4 linked regions of the Sus scrofa genome follow. The protein of the gene in region 1 purifies or fractionates together with the protein of each later gene. This does not show direct contact. Links are inferred from orthologs where the notes say so. Each region holds a gene or a part of one and is shown in the gene's direction. Other genes may lie near its edges. The genes, in order: MINK1, STRN4, STRN3 and STRIP1.

Region 1 (4,120 bases):
AAAAATTTTTTTTTAAAACTTCTTTGGGGCCACATCTGCAGCATATGGAGGTTCCCAAGTTAGGGGTCGAATTGGAGCTGTAGTCACCAGCCTGCGCCACAGCCACAGCAACGTAGGATCCCAAGCCGTGTCTGTGACCTACACCACAGCTCATTATCCCACTGAGCGGGGCCCGGGATTGAACTTGCGTCCTCATGGTTACTAGTCAGTTTCCTTAACCACTGAGCCACGATGGGAACTCCCCCAAGGATTTTCCATTCAAACCCTCCTAAGTGATATTTACATTATGGCTAATGGTGGGATCTCTCAGAGATACCCTTGTTGCTGGAAGAGATCAAGCAGCCTTCTTCAAATTCACAGTGAAAGAAAGTCCCAGAGAAGCAAAGCAACCTGCTCAAGGTCACACAGCGTGTCTGTGGCAGAACACGAGTCCTTGCTCTTTATATAGCGTTACCCAGCCTCCAGTGAGGCTAATGGCTGGGGGTGCTATGCCTACACGACTAGACCTAAGGTGACCCAAGCAAGATTTGAAGGGGTTGGACATACATTCCTCCTCCTCCCCTCCTTGCCACCCCCTCCCCCCAGGCACAGCTCCAATGATCAGTCAATGAATAATTGTTGAAACAGTTCCTTGGTGCAGAACAAGAAGTGCAGAGACAAAGGTCGGCTGTAGGATTCCCTATTCTGAGATCTGAGATCCCCTCTTCCACACTCTCCACTCCAGCCAGGGAAGGGGGTAAGGGGCACTCCTCCGGCAGTTAGTGCCCCTCTCCACTCCCCAGCTCCCAGGTGGTTTCTCCAGCCAAGTTTTCAACTAGAGGCCCCTCCCTCGGCGGCTCCACTGTTGCCATGGCAATTAGGTGGGTGGACAGCCCATCCTATCTAGAGGCCACCCAGCCCTCGCGTGGGGAGTTACCATAACAACCCCCCCTAGTAATAGAGGAGGTTGGGTCCCGCCCCCTTCCCCCGCAAATAGAGAGGTGGGTGGCTTGATTGGCAGCTGGGCACACGAAAGAAGAGGGAAAGGGAAGGAAAGGCATCAAAGGAGAGCTCGGAAGGAAACGGGGGAGAGAAAGGGCAAAAAATAAGGGAAAGGAAGGAAACGCGTGTGCGCACGCGCGCCGGCTGGTGGGCGCGCTCCCCGGCCGCCTCGGCCTCCGCCCACTTCTTCCACGCCAGGCTCGCGCGGCCGCTCGGTCCTCGCGCGCGCCTTTCGCTCTCCCGCCTGCGCCTGCGCGCAGGTGTCGGCGCCGAGGGGGAGGGGGCGCTCGGCGCGCTCGCGTCACGTTCCCTCTTCCACCCTCCCGGTGCGCGGCCACTCGGCGCCTGCGCAGGACAGCGGGGAGGCTCGGGTTGCAGGCTCTGGGGCGCTCGCTCCTGTCAGTCGGTGGGTAGGTCCTCCCGCCGGCCCTCCCCCTCCCCGTTCTCCGGGGGAGGCGCGGTGGAGTCCGCCCCCAGGATCCCCCGATGGGGGAGAAGCGGCGACGGCGGCAGCGGAAAAACCGAGCCGGAGCGTGAGCGGCCCCGGGGCCCGGTTCCCCGCGGAGGCCATGGGCGACCCAGCCCCCGCCCGCAGCCTGGACGACATCGACCTGTCCGCCCTGCGGGTGAGCGCGCCGCCCCCCAGCCTCGCCCTGGTTCCAGTCCCCGCCGCAGGGGAGCGGGCGCCCGCACGCCTCGCGCGCTCCCCGGGCGCCCTGTCCCCCGCCGCGACCCCGGCCCCTCTCCCCCGCGCCCGCCGCAGCCGCCGCCGCCGGGCCCCCGCCCTCTGCTCCCGTCGGCTCTCCACGCGCTGCAGATTCTGGGAGCTAGTTCGGTCCCCGCCCTGGGGTGCCCCGCCCCCACACTTCCCTCCACCTCTACCTTTACTCCGGTTCCGGACCCCCTTCTCCCAGGTGCTTGAGGGTCACCCTCTGGCTCCCCTGAACCTGTAGGATCACCTCCCTGGCCCCTGACCTCCTCTGGGGCCTCTTTCCCCCCTTGCTCTTACTTAGGTCTTCTTCCTCCCCCTCCTCTTTCTCGCCTCCTCGAATTTTGACTTTGCCACTGCCTTGCCAGCCTCGCCCTCGTCGCCCTTTCTCCTCCTCGCCCGGCCGTGAATTGCATCTCTTTCCCGGTCGGCACTCCAGCCTCCCCGCTCGGCCTCACACCTCCCACCGCCGCCCTCATCCCCCTGCACAGCTCTCCCCGTGCCTGCGGTCGCGTTTCAAGTGCAGCAGTCCAGAACCAGGCATTTCCGGTCTCAGGGTCCCCGCATATTACATTACCAACTCTGCAGCAGTGTGGGGCTGGGAGGAAAGACAAGTGCACTGGGGGAGGAGGGGACGCCTTTCTTATCTTCAGAAACTCTGGCCTGGGCCGGGAAGAGGATGTTTATATGTATGTACACACACAAACACAACGCAGCCTGTGGTCCATCAGGTTTGGAAAAGCCTGGGTATTCGTGGCTTTGCTGGCGGGAGGGGGAGGCAATGGAGATCTCGGGGGGGGGGGGGGTTCATTAGAAAAGGGATCCGAGGAAACCACTGCAGCAGCAATTTCTTGCAAGTACCCATTTGTTGTCCCTCCTGGGGTTCCTGCGTGCCCTCATTTGGGAGCTTTCAGAAGCATTTGTGTGTTTTTCTTCAGCAGGGAGCCCTGGCTTAAGGGGCAATTGAGTGATTTCAAGGTGAAGACCCTTGCCAGTCACCCAGAGGGGGGTTTTTGTCTCGTGTCCTTCGGGCTTTCTCAGCAGGCTAAGGGGTTGGCCAGGGCACGATTTCCCGTCTCTGGGTTAGCTGCTCAGGAGGCCCCTGTTGAAGTTGTCTTCTGGCTTTTGAGTTAGCCGAGGAGCCCGGCAAGTAGTGGGGAGAGGCGGTCAGCTGCACGGGTGCCCCCGATATGACTGGAGGGGAGAGGGGAATTGAAGAGAGCAGAGTCATGTCGTTAATTGGGTTTCTCTAGGTGACACAGTTTTCCTTGCCATTCAGGTCATAATTTGTTCGGTGCAGTTGTTGGGCTAGGAGACCTGACTTGCTGGAGATAAGGTGATAAGTTGCCCAGGAGGGAGACTGAGCCCTGAATTTCTCTCTTTCTCTCCTCCTCCTTGTGGGTAGGGGGGTGTGTGGATGTGCTTTGGGGGAGAGAGGGTCTCATGGTTTTAGGAGGGAGGTTCTTAATTAAGGTCACTTTCAAGTGTGATGCTCACGTTAAGCCAGCTGGGGTGTGAGATGGAAATCCAGGCTCCCCTTAATCAGCTTGTCTTTGGGATGAACCCCCACCTTCCCTCTGCACCTTGGTTGTTGATTAACTTGGGCGACAGGTCCCTGTGGGGACTGAAATATAATAAACGGGTGGGTCCAAACCGTGACCTTTGGTTTCAACCTTGTGGGACTCTGCTTGGGCTTCTCCTTTCCTTTGGCCTCTTCTGGTAGGTTGGCCTCGACCCGGGATTTCCAACAATTCTGCAAACACCGTCTGACCTTGGATGTGGTATTTCCCTTCCGGACCTCTCTACTTGAAGCAGTGTCAGCCTCTTTCCTCACCTGCCTCTCGCCTTACTCGCCGTGCCCTTCCTCAAGAGAGCCCCTCGACCTGCTCTCAGTGCTGGTGTCTTTGCTGCCTCATGCTTCCTAGGAAAGCATTGGCCTTCTCCCACTACCACCCCAGGGCTTGAGGGAGTGCTTTCTTTGAAATGGGGCTGCAGAGGGCGGCTTTCTCCTTGCCGCTGACCTTTTCCCGGGGCCTAGGAGAGCCCCCATGGCACTGTGGAGCAGCTTGCTCAGTCATCTTTTGTTCTGCTCCTGTTTTCCAGCGAGAAATGGCAACCTGGAGGCTATAGCAGAAAAGCACGTTTCCCTGCACGACGGCATCTTGCGATGGGGGCCTGGGGAGGGGCTGGGAGGACACACTCAGCGTTTATTAACCAGCCTCGAAGAGCCCAGGGTGTCTTCTCTTGTTTCAAGATAAGGCTTGGCTCGCAGCTGGTGATGAGAGTAATGGCCTGATGTTGGGGGAGATTGAATTGCACCATCTCTCAGCCGTGTGTGTGGGGAGCCCGGTGGACCTGCCGCTCTGTGACCCCAGGCACCCTTGACCTCTTTGAGGCTCCACCCGCTCAGCAGCATGGGCTTGTTTTCCT
Region 2 (4,259 bases), on another chromosome or scaffold:
AGAGAGAAAAAGGTGGCCATGGGAGGAGAGAACACTTAAGCTGAGATTTTGTCTCTCCTCTCCCCACAAAACAATGTAAGTGGGTCCAGATTCTGCCCTGGCTTGAACCTCAACTGCTGCATCTGTAGAATGGGAATGTGATGGGTAGAGCAAATGAGTGATATGTAGAAAAACCTTTGGGGACAAGGGCAGTTCCCACGAGTGCTGGTGACACTGAGGGGCTGCTTACCTCCTAGGGTGCAGGCTGACGGAACTCCAAGGGGGTGGTTCCAGCCCAGCTCAGCTGCACTGCTGAAGGAAGATGAACCAGAAAACCCCAAATCAACCAACTTCACACAACAGGGCACAATTTCATCTTATGAAATCTCATAAGCTCAGGCAGGCATCACCTACCTGAAGCATCTTAGCAGTGAAAGGAAGGCTGTCATAGCAACCTATACCCATCCCTTCTTTCGTGAATGTGTCCAGAAAGGTAGGGGTAGAAGTGATAGAAGGTGTTACCATGACAACCCCTTCCCTAGACACATTACATTCTGAGAGACAATCCTAAAATGTCTTCTACCTTGGTGGGCCTGGTTCTAGGGTCATTGGAAGGCAGAGTGCCCCCATTACCATAGTACCCAGGACTTGGCTCTGCCAGTTTCTCACCTCCCTAGGGATAGCCCGCATCTTGTAACCATAACAACTACTCCTCAGCAGAGCATCTCCTCCTCTAAATAAAAACACCTGGCTGGTCCAAGGCCCTCCCACCATGGGAAAGGGGGAGATGGTTACCATGGTAATGCCAACCAGGAGGCTGGGGAGAGGGGCTGGGAAAGAGATGTTTCCCTCAGCAGTGTCCTTGGGGCCAGGCTCCTTTCTACCTGAGCGCTAGGTGAGGTTGCCATAGTAACCAAGGAGGGTAGGGGCCGAAGGACCACCGGGGACTTGGGTGACCTTAGCAACCTCCTATAGGTAGGTGCAGGGCCAGGAGAGGTGGAGCTCCAGGACCATAAAGGTGGAGGGGAAGGGAGGCTAAGGGTGTCCCCGACTGAGGAAGAGTTACCATGACAACCGCCCCGGGCCAGGAATCAGGATGGGGCCATCGGTGAAACCACCCCTGGTGGTCGCCCTTTCTCTCAAAGAGGGACGGTGATCTAGGAGAGTGGTGTTTGGGTCTGGAGAGGGCTAGAATCTTTCTTTGGGGTGAAGCCGGAGGAGGGGTACAGGAAGCGGCCCCTCCCAAAGTCCTGCGCTTCCTAAGGGGTCTGGGTCGCGTTTGCCCTCCTCCAGGCGCGCGCCCCTCCTCGCCCCTCCATGCGCGCGCCTTGGGGGTCGACCCGGGTGGGCGAGGCGCGCGCCCGACATCGTTCCCGGCACCGGCCCCCCCGGCCCCCGCCGAGCGCGCGCTCGAGGGCTGGCGCGGCCGCGCAGGCGCGCGAAGCACAGCGGGCGCGCGGGCCGGCCCCGGGGCCTCCATGATGGAGGAGCGAGCGGCCGCCGCTGCCGCCGCCGCCGCTTCCTCCAGCCGCCCACTCGGCTCCGGCGCGGGCCCGGGCCCGACGGGGGCGGCTCCGGTCTCTGCCCCCGCCCCCGGGCCCGGCCCGGCTGCCAAGGGAGGCGGCGGCGGAGGCAGCCCCGGCCCCACGGCGGGGCCGGAGCCCCTGAGCCTGCCGGGGATCCTACACTTTATCCAGCACGAGTGGGCGCGCTTCGAAGCGGAGAAGGCCCGCTGGGAGGCGGAGCGCGCCGAGTTACAGGTGAGCGCCGCGCCGAGTTACAGGTGAGCGCCGCCCAGGGACCCTCGACCCCCCCGCCCGGCCCGGCCCGGCCCGGCCTCACCCGCCGCTGCCGCCGCCGCCATCTTGGAGCAATGGCCGCCGGGACTGCCGGGGGGGGGCGGGAGGGGACCGCGACCGGCCCGCAGACGGAGTGAGGGGCCGTCCGAGGGGGGTCCTGAGGGCTCCTGGGCGGCTGGAGACGGGAGGGGGGCCCAGGGGCTGGAGGGCCCGACCGGGGCAGCCAAGAGAAAGGGCGCAGGGGACCAGAACCGGCTGGGAGTGGGAGTGGGGGTGAACGGACTGGCCGAAGGGTCCCTGAGAGAGTGGCCTCGGGGACCCGAGCGGACCCCAAGAGAACTCGGCCAAGGGTGATGAGAGGGCATGGAGGGGTCTTGTACGGGAGTGAGCAAAGAACATGCAGGGTGCTGAGGGAGTCACACTCCGTCCCCGTTGGAGGTGGAGCCCGGCGGGCCCCGGGTGGGAAGAGGGGACGTTGGGGGGACTTGGGACTCGCCGGAGTCGAGAGCAGGTCGGGGCTGGGCTCCCTTGTGAGTAGGGAGAGGAAGTCAGGGAGCTCAGGACGGGTTTGTTTCGGAGTGTTAGGACGGCGGGGACTGAAAGATGGCTCTGCCGGGACTCCGGGGAGGAGAGCGAGGTCTCGGGGGTGTCAGATGAAGGTGTGTGCCCCTTCCCTCTGAGGAGGAAACTTTGTGGAGCCTTGGCAGTGCGTCGCTACCGCCTCCCGGGAAGGGATCCCGGGGGTGGAATCATGGAGGGGGCCAGGACGTGCCCCAGGAGCCTGTGCTGGAAGAGCTTGAGAGCCGAGAAACTCTTCGGGGATGTGGGAGATGGGGGGACTCCCGCCCAGAGATGGGAGGTGTGGAAGATGTCAGGTGCAGAGCCCCGACCTGGAATGAGAGGAGGTCGGCCGTGTCCAGCGGTGGAGCTGGGGCGTGGGGTGAAGACACGAGGAATTGGCCGAATCTGGGGGTGGCGGGGAGCATTTTGTAGAGCAGGAAGGCAGCCAGAGGAAGAATCTCACAAAGATCCTGGGGTGGGGGGTAGTGTTTGTGGAAGTTTCTGGGAAAGGACTCTGGTTTGTGGAGTAGCTTGAGGGAGGGCTGTACCCCTGGGATGATGTTTGGAAGGCGCCGAGGAGCTGGGCTGGGTTTTGTGACCTTGAGAGATGTGGGTCCGTTTGCTGGGTGTCCCTAGGAGCCTGGGTATCAGAATTGTGAGGATTTTAAGGGTTCTAAGGATGTGCTGCCAGGAGTCTGAGGGGTCCTGGTCTGTGGTGTTATCAGCAGAAGTCAGCGCCTGCTTCTAGCATCTTTCCCCCTCTGATTTGCTGTTTCCTGTCTAGGAGAGGTGGGGACTGAAAGAAACACCTGGTTAGAATTTTGTCCATGGGATGAATAGAGAGAGCATCCCGCAATTCTCCCACCCCTGTAGGGATCCTGGCTCTGTGGTAGCTGAGGCTTGGTGCTGGGGGGGTTGGGTGGGAGAGAAATCCTTATGCAAGTACCCCTTGTTTTTGTGTTCCATCTCTCCTTCCAGAGCTCTTTCCCAGAGTACGTCTTTTTAGATCTTCTTAGTACCCCTTCATGTAGGCAGGGCCAGTGTCCTTGCCCTCGCTCAGCAGCTGCTATCGCAGCTGCTGTTTATTGAGCACATACTATGTGCCAGGCATTGTGTCAGGCACTTTAAATAAATCCTTGCAACCTTCTGGGAGGGTAAGTGATATTCCCCCCCTTCCCTCCCCTTTAAAGAAATCAAGCAGAAGAGGAAGTGGAGGCTTTGAGCAGGTCAGTGATTTATCTAGACTCATAGCCTGTGGGTGGCAGAGGTGGTCTGTGGGCTTTCGAGCCCATGCGTTATACTTCTCTGATGCCCAGGACAGAGGAGAAGCCTGTTCCAGGAAGTTCTGGCCTCTGCGGGAACGTCCAAGCAGTCACAGCAGACCTGGGGTTAAATCTTGGTGCTTGGTGTCTGGGACTTCACACCTGTGCAGCCTGCAGCACCCCCCAACCCACCTCCTCATCTTTGAGACAAACAAGAGAAAAGATGTGTCTGTTCCCCTCCTTAGTGGTCTTCTTGGGCTTTGGGAGAAAGTTGTGGATAGCACCCGCTTAGACGCTCCTTTGTCTAGCCTCCGGCGCCACTCACTTTGTTTTCTTTTGTTCTGTTATGTTAGCGCACATTCAAAGCGCTCAGGCATCTGTGTGCACATATTACATACATGTGAGTGAAGGGGACCCCCGTCCCTTTCCTGACCTGCTCCCTAACTCGCCTCCCCAACTGTTTTCTGTGAAAGTAGTTCAGCTCCATGTGTGTAATATATGAGATCATATCATGTGTATCATTTTGTGACCTTTTTTCCCACATAGTCATGCGTCTTGGTGTTCCTTTCATATCAGCACAGAGAGCAATACTCACTGTTTTTGAAAACTATATTCCACTGGTGTTTGTATCCCAGCTCATTTAATTGGAGCCCTCTTG
Region 3 (4,204 bases), on another chromosome or scaffold:
TCTTTTTTCCTTATCATAATGGTAAATATTATTTTTGGCTTTTTTAACCAAATGGTTGTTGGCTATATTAACTTTTAGAAACGTAACAGTTCATTAAGGATGTTCCTTGGCAACTAAGCACATTAAAAAGAAAACACACTATGGTACTTAAGATTAACCTTGTCTTTTTTGTATACATTATATTCATTCAAAACAACCCAGGAAAACATTCTTAGGCATTCACTTAGGATTTTACAATGTCTTCAGGGTCCCCTGTGGAGCAGCAGGTTAAGAATCCAGCATCATCACTGCAGCAGCTAGGGCTGTTACTGCAGCGCGGGTACACCCCTGGCCTGGGAACTTCCACATGCCATGGGCAGGGCCAAAAAAAAAGTGGGGGGGGGAATTTAAAAAAGGAAAAAAGATGTCTTCAGGGTGTTTATTTTCTATTTCCATCAAAAGATTCAGCTATGAATGACATTATTTTTGAGTTATTCACTTCTAAAACATCAAATTTAACCACTCTCCTTCAAAGTTTTCTTTCTTCCTCCACCTAGCTTCGAGATCTAAAGTTTTTCACGTTCCCTTATCCCAAAAGAAAAATGAAAACAATCGGTCCTGTTCCCTTCCAACCCCCCCCCCCCCACCAAACACACTCCATCCCAGAATAATAAAGAAGGGAGGCAAAGTGGAACAAGTTGCGACGTGCGACAGGGAGCACAGAATTCGGTCCAAAGCCCAGAGACAGGGAATCGGCCGCTACGTCCGGGAGGATCTGGGCTATTTGCCAAAAAGAGAACGTCCCCAAAGCCCAGGGAACTGACTGGTGTTAGGAAACCAGAAAAAGAGCGAGTGACAGGCAGAGAAAGAGGCCCGATCCTCTGGGACTGCCTGAAACACGCAAGGAATGCAAAAGAAACGCCAGGAATTCAGGACCGGCGGCGGCCGGCCAGAGCGACCAGCCAGGTTAAAACTCAGCTTCGAAGGCAGAATCGCAGCCGAGACCCTTGGGTGGGAACGGCGGGGGCTGACTGAGCGAGGGAAACCCCTTGCTAGAAAGGACGACACCTACTCGACCCCAAAGGTCGGAGTCTACAGCCCACGGGCTCCGCGGGGGCAGCCAGACACCCGAAGCGGGTCTGAGGGCGGGCCTAGGGCGGGGCTGGCGCTCCTTCCCCGCCTCTAACGGCAACCCTGCTTCCTCAGTACGCCTGCGTAGGGTGAGGCCGGACTCTATTTGGCTACCAGGCGAGCGGCAGCAGTGGCGTTCTCTACCCGGCATGCTGCGCGGGAGCGGCGGCCCTACGTCTATCCCCTTCCCAACCCTGCCCCCTCTCGCCCTCCCACCGCGGCCCCCCCTTCCCCTAAAGTGAGTGAGTGAGACGGGCAGATGGAGGAGGGACTGTAATGGCGGCGGCCGGCAGCTCCCTGCTCTGACCCACGGCAGGCATACAGCAACAACCCCCTCCCCGCCCCTCTTCCAGCCGGCCTCCGCCCCGCCACCAGCGCGGGGCCACCTTCCCCGGCCCCTTCCCCCAGCCGTCGGCGTCTCGCCCTGCGCCCCAGCCGGGGCCCCACACACAATGGACGAGCTCGCCGGAGGCGGTGGTGGCGGCCCGGGGATGGCGGCCCCTCCACGGCAGCAGCAGGGACCTGGGGGGAACATGAGCCTTTCGTCAGGGGGGAATGGAGCAGCGGGCAGCGGAGGTCCTCCGGCCGCCGAGGGAGCCGGTCCCGCGACAGGCCCCGAGCTGTCCCGGCCGCAGCAGTACACTATCCCGGGGATCCTGCACTACATCCAGCACGAGTGGGCTCGGTTCGAGATGGAACGGGCGCACTGGGAGGTGGAGCGGGCCGAACTGCAGGTACCTCCTTGGGGTTGGTGTGCGGGACAGCAGCGGCGGCGGGGTTGTCTGCCCGGGGGTGGGGCCGGAACTCCCCTCATTCGGAGCTCGAGGCCTAGGGAGGCCGAGAGGAACCTACCTGCGCGGCTGGATGGGTGATGGTCCTGGCGACGGGTCTTCCTAGAGTCCCCCTCCCCTTTTACCGCACAAGCTTGTTACCCAGCCCTCTCTAGCTGCGCGGTGCGGGCTTCCTTGGGGCAGCCATTTTGGCTGTTAGTATGGCGTCCGCGGGGGCTCCTTCGGAGGCCGCCTGCCCGGGCCTCCGGGTCTTGGGGCTGAGTTCCTCTCTGTGGGAAAGTTCCTGGCGTGGGGCTGCTGGGCACTGAACTTGCTCTCGTTTGTACCTCGTGAAATGGAGAACCCGAGGAGAAGGACTGGCATGGGCATTTTACCACCTTTTCCCGAACCACCCCTCTTTTCGAGTTGACTTGCCTGACCCCCTCCCCCGGAGTTGGTAGCTCTTACTAGTTGACAGCCAGGCTTCTTTCCAGAGCTGCCACCGAGCACAATGGCTTGCGGCTGACCTGTGAAGTTTTCATTTCCTGCCGCCAACTTTAAGTGTCTACTTACCTGGGATGCTGCCTTACTCACTTAGATTCCCTTTGACTTCTTCCTTAGTGACTGACTCATCAACACTTCTCTGTGCTGAATTTTTCTTTTTGGAGTACCCTTCACCGGGCTCCCCCTTCTCCATCCCCCATCTTTACCCATAAAAAGCCTATCCAGAGTATCTGTCCTGTCTTTTTGAAACGACTGAGGGAAGATTTGATATTAGCTTGAAGTAAAAAGTACTTGTCTCAACGGTACTAACTCAAGTAAAGGAAGCAATGTTAAATATTCTCAGGATCCTCCATAATTGAGCCGAACTCAATTTTAAGATGAAACTTGGATAGGTTGGTTTACCTAACTTTTGGAAGATGTTGGTAGTTTAAGGGCTTTTATCTTGGATTTGAGAGTGGCTATAACTTTTAAAAAGGATTATTCAACCCTTTTGGATGTTTGTATTTATTTTTAAATTCCTTTCCAAGGCAGATTTAGGCTTAGAAGAAAAAAAAAAGGGTGCATCTAAATAGTGTTGCACCTGTTCTTCATAGTGGTATATATTTAGCATGTAAGCAGTATTGTTCACTGACATGTATGTCATATATGCCTTGGGTGAATAGTTAGGAAAATGTAGTGTTGTAAGAAGGAAGATTGGATTAACTTAAAAAGAGTGTGCCCTCAATATATATATCTTCAGTTTGATTTGGAACTAGTCGACTTTTGACTCCACAAAGTGGGTAAAGTTAAACTTTTAAAAAGTAAAACATATATTTTGACACTTTGTCAAGTCTTGAGGAAATTAATTATAAATTAACACCTGTTAGTCAATTCAGTGTTTTAACATTGTACTTTGATATACCACTGAGCTTTTAAAAATATGGCTTAAAAAGCTTAAGTGAAAATTGTTTAAAAATATAACTTAAAAAGCTTAAGTCAAAATTGTTGTTAACTTGTGTATAGTCTGTTTTAAAATATCTCTATGTATATACTTAATATTCTGTATGAGTCATGTATTTTTAAAAATTTTCATTGAGGTTTAGACTCACTAAATAATGCTTCACAACTCCTTGATACCATGTTTATAACCTTTTTACTGTTGTAGGAAAGCTTGAATTTAAACACTTTTCAAGCTAGCAAGTGCATTAGTCATTCATAGCCTTCACTGCTTGCTGTAAGTAGCTGAAAAATGTCTTGTGTCCAATTTGGTAAAATCTGTACAACATTGAGGCCTATCTATATTGTCTGCCCTAGTCTTTACTTTCTCTTCTAGTTCTCTTCTTGACAGTAACAGAAATGTCTTTTAAGGACGATTCATTTTGCTTGCTTGCTTTCAGTTTATTTACTATTGAAATATTTAGTTCTGATAAAGCCATTCTAAACTTTCTTTGCTTATTTTAAAGAAGTTCTACAGTGTTTTTAGCCTCACTTTTTTCCCAGGGATTTTTTTTTATCAATTCACACTGATTCTTCTGTAATAAAATGTTCATGATTGTGTTTGTGCGTTTTTGCCCTATGTTTCTAAAATGTTTTCTTGGGCTCCTTCGTTCATAGGTCTCCAGGTTTGTTTTTAGAACATTTGCTTTACATGCCTTCAGTCTTTGTAAGAATGATTGTGAGGTACACATTTAAAAATGTGTGTGTTGAGGAGTTCCTGTCGTGGCTCAGTGGTTAACGAATCCAATTAAGAACCATGAGGTTGTGGGTTCGATCCCTGGCATTGCAGTGAGCTGTGGTGTAGGTTGCAGACGCAGCTTGGATTCCGAGTTGCTGTGGCTCTG
Region 4 (3,558 bases), on another chromosome or scaffold:
TCCTACTGCTGCTGCTCAAGCACTTTAAGTTGAACCACGTCTACCAGGTACTTGCAGCACCTTCTTTCTGTCCACTGGGCCAGGGCCTCAGGCGGTGCTGCTCCTCCAGCCCCTAAGAACAGAGGCCCTGGCCTTCCAACCCCTTTGAGCTCTGCATGAATGTTCTGAGACACAGGCCTCTGGCGGAAGAAGGAGGGTGGGGTCCCAAGGGCTATGCTTATGTTTTTTTCCCATTGGTTTCAGTTTGAATACATGGCCCAGCACCTGGTGTTTGCCAACTGCATCCCTTTGATCCTAAAATTCTTCAATCAAAACATCATGTCCTACATCACTGCCAAGAACAGGTGATAAGAACCAGGGATCAAGAAGGGGTGGGTCTGGGCAGATGGCAGGCCTCCTAGCTGGCCTCTCCCACTGAGCCCTTTCAGCACCCACAAGCCAGACATCGGCACAAAGATGAAGGGTTCAGGGTCCCTGCCTGTAGAAAACGTCAGTTTGTCAAACCCAAGTCTAGCCAGTTTAGTGACAGGTGACTCTGTCTGTGCCTGGGTAGGAGAGTTCCCATCCTGGGCTCAGCCCTCACTGGCCTTCTGTGCTTTCTGTTCTGTTCTTTTCTCTTTTCTTTCCTTCTCTTCTCTTCTTGGGCAGGCCTCCTGCTTTCTCAGAGAACCCTATTCATGTGCATTCTAATGCCTTTCTGCTGACTCTTACCCCCACCCCCTCACCTGGTGCCAGCTGTGCCTGATGTGGACCACTCATCAGTATGATACACCACAGGCTGGCTGGCAGTTAACCAGACAGTCTCCAGTAGGCGCTTGGCATAAATTAATTGCCTTGAGAAATCCCTGCCCCTCAGCCCCAGATTTATTGCTGTGAGGGAGGCAGGGTCTCCACCCCTTACAGGTACACGTCTGACTGGCTGCAGAAGGGCCGCTCAGGTTGTCCTGGCGCAGGTGTTCCCTGTCTTGTGGCTGGGGAAACCGGGTGGTGCAGGCAAGTAGATTCCAGCCTCTGCTCCAGTAAGTGAGGGAGGAGTGCCAGGAGCCAGTCCTGTCACAGCTGCTCGCCCGGCGCCACCCTTGCTCCTGGTGAGGCCTGGCTTCCCTTGCCCTCTGCAGCATTTCTGTCCTGGACTACCCTCACTGCGTGGTGCACGAGCTACCCGAGCTGACTGCCGAGAGTCTGGTGAGTGGTGGGCTCTTCCCAGTGCTCCCTGTGGCCTGAGGGTCAGTGTGGAAGCACTGTGACTGCGTAGAGGGACCCGGGGAGGAAGCTTGCAGAGGGATTATTTCATCAGGAGTGTGGACTCCAGGGGCTGCTGACCCAGAGCTCGCCTGGTCAACTTGCTTCCCGCTCCCCACACTGGAACTCTGGGGGCCACAGCTCTGAGGGAAGTGGAAGCCGAGGCCACAGCCGCTACTATCACACTCCATGTTTCCTGCAAGAAAATTTAGGGAGCACTCCCTATCTGTTGCCAACTTCTTTTTTTTTTTTAATTAAAAACAATTTTTGTAGGCGTTCCCATTGTGGCTCAGTGGTTAACGAACCTGACTAGTATCCATGAGGACGTGGGTTCGATCCCTGGCCTCACTCAGGGGGTTAAGGATCCGACATTTCCGTGAGCTGTGGTGTAGGTCACAGGCACGACTTGGATGTGGTGTTGCTGTGGCTGTGGTGTAGGCCGGCGGCTACAGCTCCAGTTCAACCCCTAGCCTGGGAACCTCCATATGCTGCTATGCTGCAGTTGTGGCCCTAAAAAGCAAAAAAAAAAAAAAAAAAAAAAAAAAAAAAAAAAAAAATTAAGTCTAGTTGATTTACAATGTTGTGCCAATTTCTGCTGTACAGCAAAGTGACTCAGATGTTTGTATACACACACACATTTTTAATGTTCTTTTCTATCGTGGTCTGTCCGGGAGATTGGAGATAGTTCCCTGTGCTGTACAGTAGGACCTTGTTGTTTATCCTTTCTAAATACAATAGTCTGCATCTGCTAACCCCAAACTTCCGGTCTCTACCACTCTGCCCCCTCCCCGCTCCCCCTTGGCAACCACAAGTCTGTTCTCTGTGTGTGAGTCTGTTTCTGTTTTGAGATAGGTTCATTTGTGCTGTATTTTAGATTCCACACTTGAGTGATATCATAGGGTGTTCATCTTCCTCTGACTTACTTCACTTAGTATGACATGCTTTGATTGCGTCCACGTTGCTGAGCATGGCTACTTCGTTCTTTTTTACGGCTGCGTAGTAGCCCATTGTATAGAAGTACCATCTGGCAGCTTCTGGGGTGGAGGTCCCCCTGTGCTGAGGGGAGCAGAGGGTTCCTGGTACAGGCATGGAGAGACCCTGCAGTGCTGAGGTCATATAAGTGAGGGCCTTGGAAGCTGCTGAGCACCTGGGGCTGTGCAGGTGATGAGTGTTCCTGGGTTTTCCCTGCAGGAAGCAGGTGACAATAACCAGTTTTGCTGGAGGAACCTCTTTTCTTGTATCAATCTGCTTCGGATCTTGAACAAGCTGACAAAATGGAAGCATTCGAGGACAATGGTGAGTCAGCGCAGTCAGCAGGTGTGAAATGTGGAGCTCAAAGCCAAGTGCCACATGCTGTCCTGTCCCCTTCACATGGTGCAGGGAGTCCCCAGGGTGGACTTGCATCTTAAGGGCTGATCCCTGGTTCCTTGATGAGTTGAACTGGAAGCTGGAAGAGGCTCAGTCATGCACTGAAATAAATCCACGTGTATAGAAGGAATTTTCTGTGTCCTCTTAATCTCCACATACCAGGGTTCTGAGCATCCTTAACCTTGAGTCTGCAGATGCCTTGGGGTGGGGCGGTCCATGAATTCACTGCAGGTGTATACATGTGCACGTAGGGATAGTTCTGGCGAAGGAATTCATAGCTTTCTTCCAGACCGACCCGTAATTAGGGTGACCAACCATCCAGGTTTGCTAGGGCTGTCCTGGTCTGCTGTGGAAGCCCCATGTCCCAGGACACCCCTCAGTCTGGGGAAGCCCGCAGCACTCGGTCACTGTAACCATGTCCCCAAGAGGGCTAGCAGCGGGGCGACGGCGCAGGCATTTACTTCTGCCCTTAACGTGGGCCTCTCTTGTGCCCTCTCCAGATGCTGGTGGTGTTCAAGTCAGCCCCCATCTTGAAGCGGGCGCTGAAGGTGAAACAGGCCATGATGCAGCTCTATGTGCTGAAGCTGCTCAAGGTGCAGACCAAGTACCTGGGGCGGCAGTGGCGAAAGAGCAACATGAAGACCATGTCTGCCATCTACCAGAAGGTGCGACACCGGCTGAACGACGACTGGGCCTACGGCAACGGTGAGTGTGGTTCTGCACAAGGCGGGTCGGGGAGGAGGTGACAACTTTCCTTCTCTGTGCTAAGCATCCCTCCGAGGCACAGGGAAGAACCTGGCTCCTGCTTTTGTGGTATCAGGGTGGAGGTCTCGGAAGGCCTTGGAGAGGCTGCAGGGCTTGGCCTCCGTCATCATCCCCCATTCCTCTGTGCCTCCCCTGAAGTCGTGCCTTTTCCAGAAAGTGTCCCAGGCCTTTCTCCATCTCCTC

The links.
Region 2: the proteins of MINK1 (region 1) and STRN4 purify together in Homo sapiens (affinity purification with mass spectrometry; 3 studies listed by BioGRID and IntAct, with this or other methods). This does not show direct contact. The link is inferred for Sus scrofa from reciprocal best matches to the Homo sapiens genes MINK1 and STRN4.
Region 3: the proteins of MINK1 (region 1) and STRN3 purify together in Homo sapiens (affinity purification with mass spectrometry; 3 studies listed by BioGRID and IntAct, with this or other methods). This does not show direct contact. The link is inferred for Sus scrofa from reciprocal best matches to the Homo sapiens genes MINK1 and STRN3.
Region 4: the proteins of MINK1 (region 1) and STRIP1 purify together in Homo sapiens (affinity purification with mass spectrometry; 3 studies listed by BioGRID and IntAct, with this or other methods). This does not show direct contact. The link is inferred for Sus scrofa from reciprocal best matches to the Homo sapiens genes MINK1 and STRIP1.

The regions. Positions count from the first base shown.
Region 1 is NC_010454.4:52,063,751-52,067,870, reverse strand, and holds the start of MINK1 (misshapen-like kinase 1), read left to right. Parts: upstream 1-1,302; 5' UTR 1,303-1,550; coding exon 1,551-1,607; intron 1,608-4,120. UniProt on the Homo sapiens protein: Serine/threonine kinase which acts as a negative regulator of Ras-related Rap2-mediated signal transduction to control neuronal structure and AMPA receptor trafficking.
Region 2 is NC_010448.4:52,625,081-52,629,339, reverse strand, and holds the start of STRN4 (striatin-4), read left to right. Parts: upstream 1-1,429; 5' UTR 1,430-1,457; coding exon 1,458-1,739; intron 1,740-1,821; exon of another isoform or gene 1,822-1,874; intron 1,875-4,259. UniProt on the Homo sapiens protein: Calmodulin-binding scaffolding protein which is the center of the striatin-interacting phosphatase and kinase (STRIPAK) complexes.
Region 3 is NC_010449.5:68,469,547-68,473,750, forward strand, and holds the start of STRN3 (striatin-3), read left to right. Parts: upstream 1-1,350; 5' UTR 1,351-1,562; coding exon 1,563-1,844; intron 1,845-1,962; exon of another isoform or gene 1,963-4,204. UniProt on the Homo sapiens protein: Calmodulin-binding scaffolding protein which is the center of the striatin-interacting phosphatase and kinase (STRIPAK) complexes.
Region 4 is NC_010446.5:110,063,967-110,067,524, reverse strand, and holds part of STRIP1 (striatin-interacting protein 1), read left to right. Parts: coding exon 1-47; intron 48-243; coding exon 244-344; intron 345-1,118; coding exon 1,119-1,185; intron 1,186-2,433; coding exon 2,434-2,538; intron 2,539-3,110; coding exon 3,111-3,315; intron 3,316-3,558. UniProt on the Homo sapiens protein: Plays a role in the regulation of cell morphology and cytoskeletal organization. Required in the cortical actin filament dynamics and cell shape. Part of the striatin-interacting phosphatase and kinase (STRIPAK) complexes.